Linked DNA regions of Saccharomyces cerevisiae S288C. The protein of the gene in region 3 interacts with the protein of the main gene of each other region in a pairwise test. Each region holds a gene or a part of one and is shown on either strand. Other genes may lie near its edges.

Region 1 (5,018 bases), on a different chromosome or scaffold from region 3:
TTCATATAATTTGACAGTGGCTATATTGAACTGTTCTTGCAAATCGCCAGTTTTGGCATCCCCTACCCAACCTTTTTCATGCAATTCCTTTCCTTGAGTGACCCAAGCGACGAGGTTATCTCTAATATATCTTGAAGTTATAGGTACTCTTGATTTCTCCTTATAAACTCTGTTAAAAAACTCAGCTATCATTTGATGACATAATATAGGTCTCCTTTTACTTGCTCTCTTTGTTGTGTGGAGCAAGAGGGCCCAATATATGACTGTTAACTTTTCACAAAGACTTTTTTCTTTATTATTGGACCATCGAAACTTCCTTAGTTGCCTTGTTTCCGCTTCGTCATTACTGTTTCCCCCCAAGTCTGTGGGGGCTCCAACGTGCAATATGTCGTTGTCAATATCACTAGAAGTATGAGTTTCCACATTCAACTTGGTATTAGTAGTGTTAATTCTTTTATTAAAGCAAATAGTATGTGTAGATTGCAGGAGGTCGAAGCTCTTCGGATTGGCAAAATCAATATTCTGCTCTATAATTTTCACAGGTTTTGTTGGCAGTATTTGTGCAATTCCTGTCATTGAGTTTCTAAATACATTCTTTTGGTCATATTTTGAAGTGCTCTTTTTGCTTTTATGTACTTTTTTTGAAGAGGACGCATTCACATTTGTTACTTCCAATTTCTCTTCCTCCATTTTTGGCGTTTCAGAGGGCTTTCCGTAATAATCTTCAAAGGAATTTAAAGTAAAATTCTTAAAGTTGGACATCCAAAAGGATCTTCACAATATAAGCGTTTTTCTGTCCACCAGCTTCAACAAGCTTCAGCCTACTACCAATTTCTAATACTGTTTTATCTTATTACTTGCTTACTTATCCACTCCCATTGTTTTGTCCTAGATGACAGCATCACCCGGACTGAATATTAAAGCGTCAGTGTCACTTATTTTAAGTCATAATCAAGTCCTTTTAATGTGGCTATAGATTAACCCTGTACACTAAAGCTGTATATTATTTCCTTAAAGGAGCATTTATTCCCAAACTGTAACGCAGAATGTCATTCCAGAATCATGGAAAAAAGATTCAAATAAATAAATGTATATACACCAAAAATTACAACTTCGAATCCTATAGTACTTTTAATCTTTTTGAAAAAAATATTACTAAAAACTATGTATCATGTCCAAAGGCCATAGGGCCTAGCATTTTCTTTGTTAAAAAAGATAAACAGTAGAGAAATAAATAAAAAACGCCCTAACCCAACATATAGGACCTCTTTTTCGTTGGCCTAGTCAACTTTAATGGATGAGTAGATTTTTCTAACAAAGAGCATACTGCTGATAAAGCCAATTGACCCCGTTACCAAACAGCAGAGTAATGAAATGACTGAGGAGTATCCCACGTATAAGACAATAGTCGTGAATCCACCCAACTTAAATTTGGTGAATAAAATAGAATGAATAAACACATACAAAGCACAACCGGCGCCTCCAATTATGAATCCTCTCCATTGCCACTTCCAGTTCTCCAGGCATAAGGAATGATAAGTGATCAAAATAGTGACGAGTGAACTTGTCAAAGTTAATAGGAGGAAAGAGAAAAAGAGGAAACCAAACATGTAAAAAATCTTATTAAACCATAAACTTGTGTATATGAAATACAACTCAACGGCGATGGAGCCAAATGGAAAGATACCAGCAATCAAAGTAGCTGGTATAGTCTTTAAATACCAAGGCTGGAAGGGTATTTGTCTTGCGATTTGGTTTGTCTTGGTTGGATGTTCATCCCAGTGACATCTTTTCCTGGCAATCAATGAACCAGCAAATGATAATGGGATTGAGAACAAAAACCATAGAAAAACCATAAAAAACAGAGTACTTGCTGGTATGACACCAGAAGAATGAACAAACATTAAGAAAAAGTTCAACGCAATAATTATTAGCAGAATAGCACCAGGAACTAGAAGTGGAGTCAATATCAAGTTTGCCTTCCAGTATGGCCCATTGAAAAATTTGTAGATGCCCATAGATGTATAAGAGCCGACAAACCCGAATAATGCATATAAGATAAACATAACAGTGGCTAAGGAACCTCTAGAACTAGGTGATAGGAAACCCAATGCAGCGAAGAAGATACTGCAAGTTACCATCAAAAATAATTGAACTCCTGAACCAACCAAAATTGAAAGGGTTAGCGATTGACTTGGCGAACGAAAAACATCACCATGATTCAATTTCCAACCCGAATCTTCTTGAAAATCATCGTCCAAATTTAACTCGTTGTAACGTGCGAAATCACTTTTCAGTGCGCGCAATAGCGAATGGATAACAACAGATGACAATAAGACAACAACTAAGGAGAAATTTATCAAAGAAAACCATTGAATAGAAGGATCATATACGTGTAAATATTTGTCCCACCTGGTGGCCCAAGAAGTCGCTGATTCATTGAATTTAACGGAATAAGTAAAATAAACTTCATTATCATTTCCTTCGTCTAGCATCAATGGGCTGCCAGTCGTTTCACATGTACCTGGACTGGAACGTTTTATGGAAACCGGTTCGACGATAACACCAACTACACGATAGTTACCTTCACCACGATCGTGATATTCAATCATAATATCGAAATGGTTGGCAAAGTAAGGCAATTCGTAAGTTTTCACCATGTTACGATCATTACGTGTTTCCAATTCCACATCCTTATCGGTGGTTTCTGCCCCTTTTGGAGTAGCCTCAATGTCGGTTCCTTGAGTTACCTGTACAAAACCAAGGTTGAAGCCAGCACCATAAAAACTAGTCTTAGTTCTGCCATCATAAACCTCTCTTGCAGCCGGTAATCCATCAATAAGCCAGTTTTGGAAGAAGCCATTTTTTATCAATTTATTGATGAATTTAGCATCATCTCCCGGAATTACGGTCTTACACAGGGATTCACACTCTTTTTCTTGTAACATATTCAATTGGAATGGTGAATTATAAATTCGATCACCAAATATAACGGATCCCAAGGATTCAGGTTGCTTTTCGACTTTTTCAGGCTGACAAAAATGGAATCTATTGTAATAGTAGTCGTATGAGTACAAGAAATTTTCTTTATCGCCAGAAACGTTATTACCGTCCTCATCTTTGTGTTGATAATTCATTGATGGAGTTAAATGATTAACGAGCAATGGGATGTTGTCATTTTCCCTGTAAGTGGTAGGCGCTACACCTGGTAAATAGAAGGCTTTGACTGTTGACACAAAAAAATACAACAACAAAAGCTGTACGTGTGCCATTTTGTAAATCATTCTGTTTTGTTTTCCTTTCGGTACTTGCTCTCTGCTACTAAATTAATATCTGAAAATATAACGGTAGCAGATGAAGGAAAAGCTGGACAAGGAGCCAAAAATTAACTTAACTAACGTACCAAAAAAAGATACAAATAAAAACAACAAAGCAGTTCAAAAACCTTGAATTACCTTTTTGTTTATCATTAGGCCTATTTCTTCGAACCGATGACATTTTTCATGGCTTCACCAAGTAAAGAAAAATTGCCGTGAAAAAAATTTAAAGGGCTGTAACCCGGACTTTTGTATTATAAGTTAAAATCACTCATTCTCAGGCAGTATTGGTAACATTCCAAGTGACTTCCAATACGTGTTGAATTTACTACTAACATTCCAGTGCAAGTAGTAATTTTTATTAAGTTTTGATCAACTTAGGATTTTCCTATTTTATTTTTGTTTATTATATTAAGTGTTCATTATTTTAAGTAGTTATATATTATATAATACAACCCCGATTAGACAAACTTCATAAGTTTTTCGGGTGGGACGGTATCAAGCATTTCATTCTCATCAATTCGCGGTTTAATGGGCTTATAATCACCCTCTGGATCCTTAAACACGTAGGCAAGAATGACGCCTGCAATACCAAGGACAGAAACTGTCCCTAATGCTAGTGCAAGACCAATTAAAACGACAAAACCACGACCTATTTTCTTCTTCTTCGATTTTGATTTAGATTCACTGCTTGCCGATGAAGATGGAGGCTGGGATGATGTTGACTGAGGACTTGTCACAGTAATGTTCACATTGGCAAGTGGTGACTGAGAGTTGAATTCAGTTGAAACGTCTCTATTAATAAAAATTATTGGATTGTAATTGGAAGTATTTGTTGTTTCTGAAATAAAATATGGGGTCCATTTTTGGAAATCAAACAACAAACTTTGTAGGTATCCGTATTGCGAAATATTAAAATTACCATTAAGTAAGAGGATACTGCCATTATTAACATTGTTGATTCCTCTCTTGTTCAAAGTGTTGGATTCAATATCTGTGTATATAGCTGAAACAGAGCTAATAGAGCTAGCATTGCCAGGTAACGAGGTAATATTCCATTCTTGGTTTCTATAGATAAATAATGAAGTATCATTCCATGCCACTATGGAGTCTTCAGTGACAGTAAACGAATTCAGTTTCCCTTCAGAACCACTCAATAATGGAATCATAGTAGAATTGGTTAAGTTAAAGGATCCTAAACGTATAGATTGGTATTCTTTTGTTTCAAAAAGGCCTGAGATAATTAATTCTGATGAGTTGGTGAAGGAAAGTTGTGTGATTTCACCAAAAATCGTGTTATTGAGGAAGGTAGACCAAGTTTTGCTTTCATAATTGTATAGACATAATCCGGTGCAATTCGGCTCAGTCATTTGGAAATCTCCGCCGACAAGCATACTACAGTTTTTTTCAAAGTTAACTAAAGCATTTATTCTAGCATTTGATCCTAGTGTTTCATTAGCAATCATGGTCAAATTTCTCAAATCAAAAATCGACAGTTCTGCTGTGGTTGAAGATCCTGCACTGACAGCTAGTAAAGTTTGATTATCAGCGTATAGCATTTGAGTAATACCGCTAGACCAATTCCAGGAAGGATAAACTTCATTAGAAAAATAAATTTTGTTTAGAGAATCCACCTCATATGCATATGCCGTGGCAGACTCATTTAAATAAGCTCCCAGGTAAGGTACAATACCCCCTTCT
Region 2 (4,729 bases), on a different chromosome or scaffold from region 3:
ATATATCCGTTTCGTACTCAGTGACGTACCGGGCGTAGAAGTTGGGCGGCTATTTTGACAGATATATCAAAAATATTGTCATGAACTATACCATATACAACTTAGGATAAAAATACAGGTAGAAAAACTATAATGAGTAAGGATAATAGGTTAGCAAGTATTTTGCTGCAGCCTGTAGCATCATCCTCTGGAAATTGTACTGAATTCCATGACTCAAAGTTGCATACTCTGCAAGAGGAACTTAATTTCTTGCCACTAGAAGGAGTTGCGTCGAATGTTTGCCCGCCGATGTTTAGAGGTCATAAGAACTACGTGTTTGTGTTATATTGTTTGAATCAAGTCGATCTCGTTACGAATTTGCAGGATTCTACAAAACGTTACTACCCACTGCAAATATTTAAAGATTGTCAATTGAGTTCTTTGGTTCAGAAGGATTTTTCACACTATTTCCAACTCAGCAGGCAAAAGGAAGGGGAAGATCGGAACGATAGTGATACCACCTTGGTTAATGTCGTCAATTCTGGAGTATCCCGCCATAGAAGTCAATTACTAAAGATGTGTATTATACCTAGAATTTGTTCCTTTGACAAATCCAACTCCAAAACCTACAAGCTAATTCAGGAATATGTTAATCGCTTTGAAACCGTTTTAACAAAATTTGGCCCAGAAAAAGATTTCACCAAAGTTTACGCTAACTGGTCAAAACTCATTGAGTCGTTTAATGAGCTTATTTTACATGACCTGTTGGTGAAATGGCAACAATGGTCTGAATTAACTCAGCCAAATGCCACGGTCCATCAGAACATTCCGAATGTTCTCAGGGAACTCGTAATAAAATTAACACAAAGGTACTTTACATTCCAACCTTCATACAGTTGTTCGATTGATGAATTCACAACAATTTTACTTAATAAAAATGCTTTGAGTCTCTTGGACGTTTTCAGAAAACCCAGAAAATATAAACTGAATTTTGGTTTATGGCTAGATTGTCAAAACGGTATTTTAATTTTTACAAATGGTATTGTGCAGATGGCAGATGAAATTACAAGTGAGAGGGTGAAATCCTTTGTCAGGCCAGCACATCTCTTGGTATTGGAAGACCATTCAAATGATGAAGCAGTCAAGAAACTAATGTTTTTCACTTTTTCAGCGATATTACAATGCTTTACAGATGAGATTCTGAATTGTTAAAACGGGCTATCCATATTACATCTGAACCAAAAAAAACTTTTCTTTGCTGTTTACTTTAAATCTTGCTTAATGTGAAGATTTTTTTCTGTTTGCCCTTTCACTAGGAGATTTTTAACCTAATTTTACCAGCCGATTCGTTAGTAGGAATGCATTTTTCCAAAATCAGGAATTTTTACGTCATCCCGCTCTCCTTTGAGATCCGGGCAAACTTCTTATTTTAGCCACTCGAGAATTTTTTTCTTTATTATAAAAAAAGTAATTATGCCTCCGCACTAATCTTAAAAAGCTTTTTAACGTAAGTGGTATACTGCAGACCAGGACCATTGTTTTACTTCATTGCCTGAAATAGTATCTAGGTTAGATATTGATTTTTCTTACACTTCAATAAAACAATTGCATTCGTTATACATTTTTTTCTTTCCAAACATTTGCTATAAAAAATTTTTTGATCCCTCGCCATACTAATTTTCTATTGTTCCTCGAAATTAGTGATAATCCTCGAGAAATATTTGGTGAGCTATTTTCTTTGTGCATTATATGAAATTCATGTCCGTATAGTTTGTTTTTTTAGCAGAAGACAATATAAAATGGAAAGAGTATGGTTTGCAAAATTAACAAATAAAGGAACTATTAAAATCGGGTATATCTCATTTATACTTCTAAGTTTGCTATGTCAATCTCTGATTGGGCTGGTTAATGCTGATTTTAATTATGAAGGCTGTTACAGTGCCGCGGATATCCAGTCTGCTGGACTGTCTCTGAAAAACTCATACATATATCAATCAGTGTCATACTGTCAAAACCAGTGCCCTGAGTCAGCAGTAGTAGCATTATTTAACGGGTCAGATTGTTACTGCGGTAATTCGGTAAGTTTTCTGACTTCTTTGACGAAATCAACAGATTCAAACTGTGGAACTAAATGCTCTGGCTGGCCTTACCAAATGTGTGGAGGGTCATCGTACATGAACGTGTATGTAAATGCTGAAACTTTTGTTTCATCGGTTGAATCTTCCTCTTCCAAAGAAGGGTCTAGCACTTCCTATATGCCCTCAACAACTTCTTCATTGTCCTCCGCCCAAATTTCTTCAACTACTAGGAGAACGTCAACAGATATGAAAAGTTCTGAAATGATAGCCACGACAGTTTCTACCACTTCAACAACCTCTTCCTCGACTTCCTCTACTACCTCTTCTACCACCTCTTCTACCACCTCTTCTACCACCTCTTCTACTACCTCTTCCTCGACTTCCTCTACTACCTCTTCTACCACCTCTTCTACCACCTCTTCTACCACCTCTTCTACCACCTCTTCTACTACCTCTTCTACTACCTCCTCTACTACCTCCTCTACTACCTCTATCTTTTCTGTTACGTCTAGCTCCTCATCCATTACATTGTCCTCATCTGAGCATACCACAGTCGATAGCCGTACTTCTTCACCCTCTTCCACCTTGGTGCCAGTGTCCTCGAGTAGCAGCACACTATCAACTCCAAAAGTGACCTCAATGACCCCTAGTACGTCATCAACGATACCAATAGTTACCTCAGTGGAACTAGTGACTAGTGTGGTTACAAAAGCGATCGTGAGTACTTCTGATCAACATCAGGAAACAATATTTGTTACGAGGACATCCGTGGTTGAACGATCTTCTGAGGTAGCTACTGCTACTGCTGCCGCCTCAAATAATAGATCTAATTCGACTTCGAAGCAGCGTCTGAGTGGTGGAGCCATTGCCGGTATTGTTATTGGTGTTGTGTTTGGCGTAATTTTTATTATTTTGATTCTATTGTTCCTGATATGGAGGAGACGGAAATCGCACGACCAATTAGACTTGGAGGAAACGAAACATTATCAGCCCTATTCGTTCGGTGATGAGGATGCAAATCCAATAGGACCGCCTCCCTCCTCTGGTACGACAAATTGGATGAGACATTCAAGGGGTAATACAGCGGGTTCTATCGGTACAAGTAATATGTATGGTTTTTCTATGAGTAATGGTGCAAATTATAGTAGTCCTAGTTCAAACACCAGTGGAAGCATCATAAACAACTTGGCTGGCTTACAAGATGCTACGGTTCAGAAACAGAACCTTCCATCGACAGTTTTTGAAGAGGCAAATACTTTGAATAGTGCAAATGAAAGGTTCAGTGCCAATTCTTTACCCGACATGATGATGAGCGGACCATTGCAAGTGGTAAACCCTGATAATCCTGATAATCCTGAATTATCTAGTACCGTATCTCATAATCGAGCCTGAAAAACTCGCATAAACTCTCAACATTAATGGTAATCAACTGGTTCTGCTGGACGGAGCCATTCTAAATCATTAACTTTATAATATCATGTTTTATACCCTAATATTTAAACAATTTACTGCTTTTGGCACTTCAACTGTTAGAAAAAGAACAATAATATTTAGTATTTAGTTTCATTTTTAAATTTTCTGATTCACTTCATTTGCAGCTTCTAATGATGTTTGTGGTACAAAAATATAAACAATTTTAAAATATTAAAAAAAAATGCTTCCAATCGGATTTGAACCGATGATCTCCACATTACTAGTGTGGCGCCTTACCAACTTGGCCATAGAAGCTAAATCTCTGAAAGCTGCGCTCTTCAAAGGCGAACCAAGCAAGATAAATTAATATTATTATGTAAAACTATCGTTTTCCTTTTGTTGATTCCTATATCCCGGAGAAGAACTACTAATTATCAAATTATTCACCAAATGATCAAATTTAGCAGCGTAGTGAGTGCCACTATGTAGATGTTGGAATAAAAACCAACTATCGTCTATCAACTAGTAGTCATACTATCAATATATTATCATATACGGTGTTAGATAGTGACATAAGTTATTATAGAAGCTGTCACCGAAGTTAGAGGAAGCTGAAATGCAAGGATCGATAATGTAATAGGATAATGAAACATATGAAATGGAATGAGGAATAATCGTAATATTGGTACATAGAAATATAGATTCCATTATGGGGATTCCTATATCATCGAGGAGAACTTCTAGTACATTCTGTATACCTAATATTATAGCCTTTATCAACGATGGAATCCCAACAATTATTTCAAAATTCACCCATTTCTCAGTAGAATTATTAATATTGGGGAATATATGGGTTTCTATGGTTCGATAGTACTGGCGCACATTCAGCATACAAATCCTACTACCTTGGTAAAGACCGAAATGCCAACAGCCGTCATTAAATCACGATATAATAGAGCATATTTCAAGTTATATAGATCCATATATCAAGGGTTTACCATACGCTCTTCCAAAACTTGTAAAGCTAACTGTCTTCGTCTTTCTTCTACAGTCATAATTTTTTTGGCGCCTCTACTTTCTGCGATGGTGTTCCCAATATCTATATCAATATCATGAAAAGGTTTAATGACTTTAAATTTTACAACAACTACATTATAAATGAAATTGAAAATCGGCCTCAAAATCGGCTTAATTAGATCAGGAAAGAAGTAAATCAATTGAAAAGTATCAGATGCATCGCCGACCAATATTTCCTGACC
Region 3 (6,027 bases):
AGGGCAATGATCCTCCAGATATTGGTAACCGACAGAATTGTAAAGCATTGATAATAGCATACCGATTTTCAAGTTTCTATTTGAATTTGTATTTTGTAGTATTCTATCAGTGAATTCGTTTACACGATTTTTTTCATCTTCGGTTTGACACTGTCTGATTAGCATTTCCTTCAATTTCAAAAGGTTATTTGCTACGCTAGGCTGGGCTCTTGTAATATTCGCGTTTGCCGTCAATGCCGGTATCATCGTGTTCTTTGAAGTGTCAAGGAACACTGAAGTGACCAGGATTTTTAGAAAACAGTCCTGAATTATAATATAATTTTCAGATAACGGCTTAACTTCTCTTTTCATGACTTTACTCATGATCATGGTTGGATGACTTCTATACAAGTTGATTTCAATATCATTTCTGGTACCATTGTTTATATCCCCGTTACCACTTTGTTCATATATAGGTTCCATTTTATGCTGCTTCTTGGTATCAGGACTGTCCCCGCTAGCATTGTTTGTATTGATCGGACTTGCTGATCTCTTGCCTGATTCATTCACCTCTCTCTCTGTTAGTAGCTTCATAGCTTTATCTTTCCAATAAAACATATCTTTTTCCAACCTTGATATAATGGCGTCTTTACTCGGAATTCGTGGTGCTGGCTGTTTTGATACGTCATAAACACATTTTAACCCATGCTTGACGCATCGACCACATTCAGGTTTTTCTCTATCACACTTTGTTTTTGACTTCCTACAAGCCTGGCAGACAAACAATATTCTATTTCTTTTCCTATTATGTGTTTCGGAGTTCTCGGGGGCAGGCGATGTGCTTGAGTGCTCAGCTTCTAATCCAGGCGTTGGGTTATTGAACCCTAAGAAAAACGCCTCCGAATATGGCTTGGTAGAGCTATTATCATCATTTCCGGCATGTGGGGCCTTCTGCGTACTATTTTCGACCATGACTTACGCAACCTAATCTATTATTAACCTGCTTCTAACACAAAATAGCCAACAGTAAATCCCTTCTGGAGGATCTGTTTCCTTCTCTACACGTCAAAAAAGATGTCAGAAAAAAGCGGCAATTGCGTACATTTAAGGAAGCAGAGCCAAAGCGAATTTCACATTTAAGGTTTTTATCGCTGAAATATGTGTGGTGTTGGGATGTAATGGAGATAATACACCTTTTTGAGCGGTTTTCTATGAAATATAATGTAGGATATCCTTGCCCTTAAATATTTATATAATAAGTTGTTACATGTGAGTATATATTGGATTACAAATATGGGTTGTTGTTGCGGGCGTTTTCGTTGCTGCCGTTGTTGTTAAAATGCGAATATGATTTATTGGAATTCCCCAGGTAGAGACTTGATTCAGGCTTCATTAAACTGGAGGTGCTTGTATTATTCGGCGCTAGATTAGTACGAGAAGCAGATGACGCACGTTGGTACTGTGGAGACAAGAAGCTGCCACCCGTACCCATGACAGCGGAGGTTGGTTGCACAGGTTGCTCCGTTACTTCCGAGGCATCGAAGGGAGAGGAATTTTGCTTAAAAGAGGATGAACTAGTCTCATCATCAAAGAGTCTTGCTGTATTTGTGTTTGCATTCAGGTTCTTGCCGAAAGTGTCGTCACGGAACATTTTTTCTTCCTCATTTTCATTGGTGTCCATAACAGCTTTTCTCAATTCAAACAGTTCAGAATCATTTTTGTTTTTGCCATCGAAATCATTTTGAATCTTAGGAATGAATGACACACGGTCATCTTTCATTGGTTGGTAACGGACATCTGGGTTTCTGTGTAGTAATGCCAGTGTACAGGTGACAATAGTGAACAATAATAGGAATAGAGCAAACACCGCGTTCAAAACGAACAGAATAACCGCCATCACTGACGAAACCACTGCTGGTTGCTTGAACAAATTACTGAAAAACAAAAAGAAAAATGCATTGATCAAATTCACCAAATGAATAGCAATATTGAAAACATTAGTTCTCTTGTCCAAATATGGTCTTATCCAACAGAGACAAACGAAGTAAGCTAGTTCAATGACAAAGATGATCATTGCTTGAGCCTTACCTTGGTTTTGTAAAACGGCAACAAACAGGGATCTTAAGAACGCATAACTTAATAAGGGTAAAAGCCACCAAAACTTATCTGCTTTGAATTGAACGTATAAGAACCCAAACTTGTTCAAGAAGTAGGTATCACTGTAAAGTAGGTACGCAGGATTCTTGTATAATCTGAGAGACTCTCTTCCCTTGATGAAAACCCTTATAGTTCCATAAACCAGAAGTCCCGTGATGATCAGTAATATTACTACCGCATCAACAACAATCGCTGGAGAGTTGACCTGAGTAAATTCCCAAATCGCCAGAAGAGAAACTTGAGGGAAGGCGATGATAGATAATCTGAAAAGGGTGCCTTTGATAATACTCCCCCAGTTCTTCCTATATTGGAAGAAATTGGAAGTCTCTTTCAATATTCTTGCTCTTGTAAGAACTTCCAATAGCGCCTTAAAGAAAATCAAAGAGACGACAACTACAAATAGGAAGAATAGAAAAAACACAATACCGGTCAAAAAGAAATTAGATAGCTCAATATTAGCCAAATAAGCAACTCTTTCTATACCTCTTAACACGAGAATCTTGGCTGAGTAATTGCTTGGATCCTTCTCAGAAGTGGTGTACAGATTCGAATCGTCTAAAATGGTGTCAAAATTGTAATCACTAGACGATGCCATAGAGATAGCACGTTTTTGCACACTAATGGACAAGACGTCCTTGTTAGCTACCACAACATTTGAGACACCATTAGTGGCCTGTACGTACCAATCAAAAATCTTTTGCATGAAGTTTGTATTGATGATACCCATGGACCATTGGAAATTCTGCGTCCACGCGGCAGCAATGGGTGGAACCCTTGAGACACCCATCATTGCAGTGATAGCTAGATTTTGGAAGTATATGAACAATGAGATGGAGTTGGACGCAATGTGAGCAGCAGTGGCTGAGTAACCGATCACAGACACAAACCCTGAGGTAAGTACACCGACACCTGAGATAGCGGCAATGGGCCAGGCCGCATACTTTGTTTGCACTGTCTTCCCGTTACTCAAGATAGCCTGGACACAAGCCAGCGGAGTTTCGAATTCCGTGTCATTCTGAGCGTATGCCACCACACGTACTTGTGCGTCCAAATCTGGAATGGTGTAAGCAATGCCGGGAAATTGCTTGGTAATGGATGATTCGATCACCTGTGTGGACATGACATCAATACGCCCAGCACTTAGGGGGCAAAGCGATACTTGGCCCAAGGAACATAAATCAAAAGTCTTATCCAGGACTTTCAGTCCGTAAGTAAGCAGCTCAGCCTTCACAGTGACGTTCCCATTAAGCGTCGTCGTAGCGTCAATATCAAAGATAACAGTATTATTATCGGGGTAAAATTTCACATCAAAGAATGATGCCGTTAATTGCGAATTGTCCATACACGTCAATAAAGAAGTGGTCTGCAAATGCTTTGCAGACGCCGGAGTAGTGTCGTTTGTGTCAGAGGAACGTGCTGTACCGCTGCACAGTACGAAACACGTTAAAAGGCACCTTGCGAAGGTGTTTAGGAAGATCATGGCTATATAATCTTTTTATCACGTCAATATAATCGTAATGAAACAGAAATGAATGTATTATAATACACTGAAACACGGTATAGCGCAGCAAATTGTTTTAGTTTAAGGGGTATAAATGTTTTCCAAGGGTGGTGTTCTATATATATATGCCATTCATATACTTTTAATAATGTTCTATACGTATTCCCGTGAAGGCATTAATGATTATCTTTTTCTTTAAAAATGCAAGATGGCTGAGTAGTCGCGCGAAAAAAAAAAAAAAAAGAAACAGCAAGGTTAATTTTAGAATACCAACAGGAAAAAAGAAAAGATTATCCTCCCAGAAAAACAATCTGTTTATTACCCGACATTCTTAAAAAAACAAAAGCAAATCACATGTGCACATACGTCCAGAATGATATCAAGATAAATGGCACGTGTATGTACGGCTGTGTAAATATGATAATCATCTCGGACGAACGGCGTAGCACTCTCCATCCCCTAAAAATGTTCACGTGTGACTGCTCCATTTCGCCGGATGTCGAGATGACCCCCCCCCCTCAAAAGGCACTCACCTGTTGACATGCCGTGGCAAATGATTGGGGTCATCCTTTTTTTCTGTTATCTCTAAGATCCAAAGAAAAGTAAAAAAAAAAGGTTGGGGTACGAATTGCCGCCGAGCCTCCGATGCCATTATTCAATGGGTATTGCAGTTGGGGTACAGTTCCTCGGTGGCAAATAGTTCTCCCTTCATTTTGTATATAAACTGGGCGGCTATTCTAAGCATATTTCTCCCTTAGGTTATCTGGTAGTACGTTATATCTTGTTCTTATATTTTCTATCTATAAGCAAAACCAAACATATCAAAACTACTAGAAAGACATTGCCCACTGTGCTATGTCGCCCTCTGCCGTACAATCATCAAAACTAGAAGAACAGTCAAGTGAAATTGACAAGTTGAAAGCAAAAATGTCCCAGTCTGCCGCCACTGCGCAGCAGAAGAAGGAACATGAGTATGAACATTTGACTTCGGTCAAGATCGTGCCACAACGGCCCATCTCAGATAGACTGCAGCCCGCAATTGCTACCCACTATTCTCCACACTTGGACGGGTTGCAGGACTATCAGCGCTTGCACAAGGAGTCTATTGAAGACCCTGCTAAGTTCTTCGGTTCTAAAGCTACCCAATTTTTAAACTGGTCTAAGCCATTCGATAAGGTGTTCATCCCAGACCCTAAAACGGGCAGGCCCTCCTTCCAGAACAATGCATGGTTCCTCAACGGCCAATTAAACGCCTGTTACAACTGTGTTGACAGACATGCCTTGAAGACTCCTAACAAGAAAGCCATTATTTTCGAAGGTGACGAGCCTGGCCAAGGCTATTCCATTACCTACAAGGAACTACTTGAAGAAGTTTGTCAAGTGGCACAAGTGCTGACTTACTCTATGGGCGTTCGCAAGGGCGATACTGTTGCCGTGTACATGCCTATGGTCCCAGAAGCAATCATAACCTTGTTGGCCATTTCCCGTATCGGTGCCATTCACTCCGTAGTCTTTGCCGGGTTTTCTTCCAACTCCTTGAGAGATCGTATCAACGATGGGGACTCTAAAGTTGTCATCACTACAGATGAATCCAACAGAGGTGGTAAAGTCATTGAGACTAAAAGAATTGTTGATGACGCGCTAAGAGAGACCCCAGGCGTGAGACACGTCTTGGTTTATAGAAAGACCAACAATCCATCTGTTGCTTTCCATGCCCCCAGAGATTTGGATTGGGCAACAGAAAAGAAGAAATACAAGACCTACTATCCATGCACACCCGTTGATTCTGAGGATCCATTATTCTTGTTGTATACGTCTGGTTCTACTGGTGCCCCCAAGGGTGTTCAACATTCTACCGCAGGTTACTTGCTGGGAGCTTTGTTGACCATGCGCTACACTTTTGACACTCACCAAGAAGACGTTTTCTTCACAGCTGGAGACATTGGCTGGATTACAGGCCACACTTATGTGGTTTATGGTCCCTTACTATATGGTTGTGCCACTTTGGTCTTTGAAGGGACTCCTGCGTACCCAAATTACTCCCGTTATTGGGATATTATTGATGAACACAAAGTCACCCAATTTTATGTTGCGCCAACTGCTTTGCGTTTGTTGAAAAGAGCTGGTGATTCCTACATCGAAAATCATTCCTTAAAATCTTTGCGTTGCTTGGGTTCGGTCGGTGAGCCAATTGCTGCTGAAGTTTGGGAGTGGTACTCTGAAAAAATAGGTAAAAATGAAATCCCCATTGTAGACACCTACTGGCAAACAGAATCTGGTTCGCATCTGGTCACCCCGCTGGCTGGTGGTGTTACACCAATGAAACCGGGTTCTGCCTCATTCCCCTTCTTCGGTATTGATGCAGTTGTTCTTGACCCTAACACTGGTGA

What was found. Proteins that work in one complex are often made in the same cells at the same time.
Region 1: the proteins of FLC2 (region 3) and EMP70 interact in a protein complementation assay, tested with the Saccharomyces cerevisiae proteins (one large-scale study listed by BioGRID).
Region 2: the proteins of FLC2 (region 3) and WSC3 interact in a protein complementation assay, tested with the Saccharomyces cerevisiae proteins (one large-scale study listed by BioGRID).

What each region holds. Positions count from the first base shown.
Region 1 is NC_001144.5:292,811-297,828, forward strand, and holds EMP70 (Emp70p), read right to left. Parts: upstream 3,285-5,018; coding exon 1,281-3,284; downstream 1-1,280. Other genes in the region: SRL2 (Srl2p), read right to left, coding at 1-762; RAX2 (Rax2p), read right to left, coding at 3,779-5,018. UniProt on the Saccharomyces cerevisiae protein: With TMN2 and TMN3, plays a critical role in the late stages of a nutrient-controlled pathway notably regulating FLO11 gene expression. Acts downstream of RAS2 and TOR. Essential for cell adhesion and filamentous growth.
Region 2 is NC_001147.6:112,858-117,586, reverse strand, and holds WSC3 (Wsc3p), read left to right. Parts: upstream 1-1,778; coding exon 1,779-3,449; downstream 3,450-4,729. Other genes in the region: NDJ1 (Ndj1p), read left to right, coding at 133-1,191; YOL107W (uncharacterized protein), read right to left, coding at 4,457-4,729.
Region 3 is NC_001133.9:43,488-49,514, reverse strand, and holds FLC2 (flavin adenine dinucleotide transporter FLC2), read right to left. Parts: upstream 3,617-6,027; coding exon 1,265-3,616; downstream 1-1,264. Other genes in the region: oleate-activated transcription factor OAF1, read right to left, coding at 1-951; ACS1 (acetate--CoA ligase 1), read left to right, coding at 4,493-6,027. UniProt on the Saccharomyces cerevisiae protein: May be responsible for the transport of FAD into the endoplasmic reticulum lumen, where it is required for oxidative protein folding.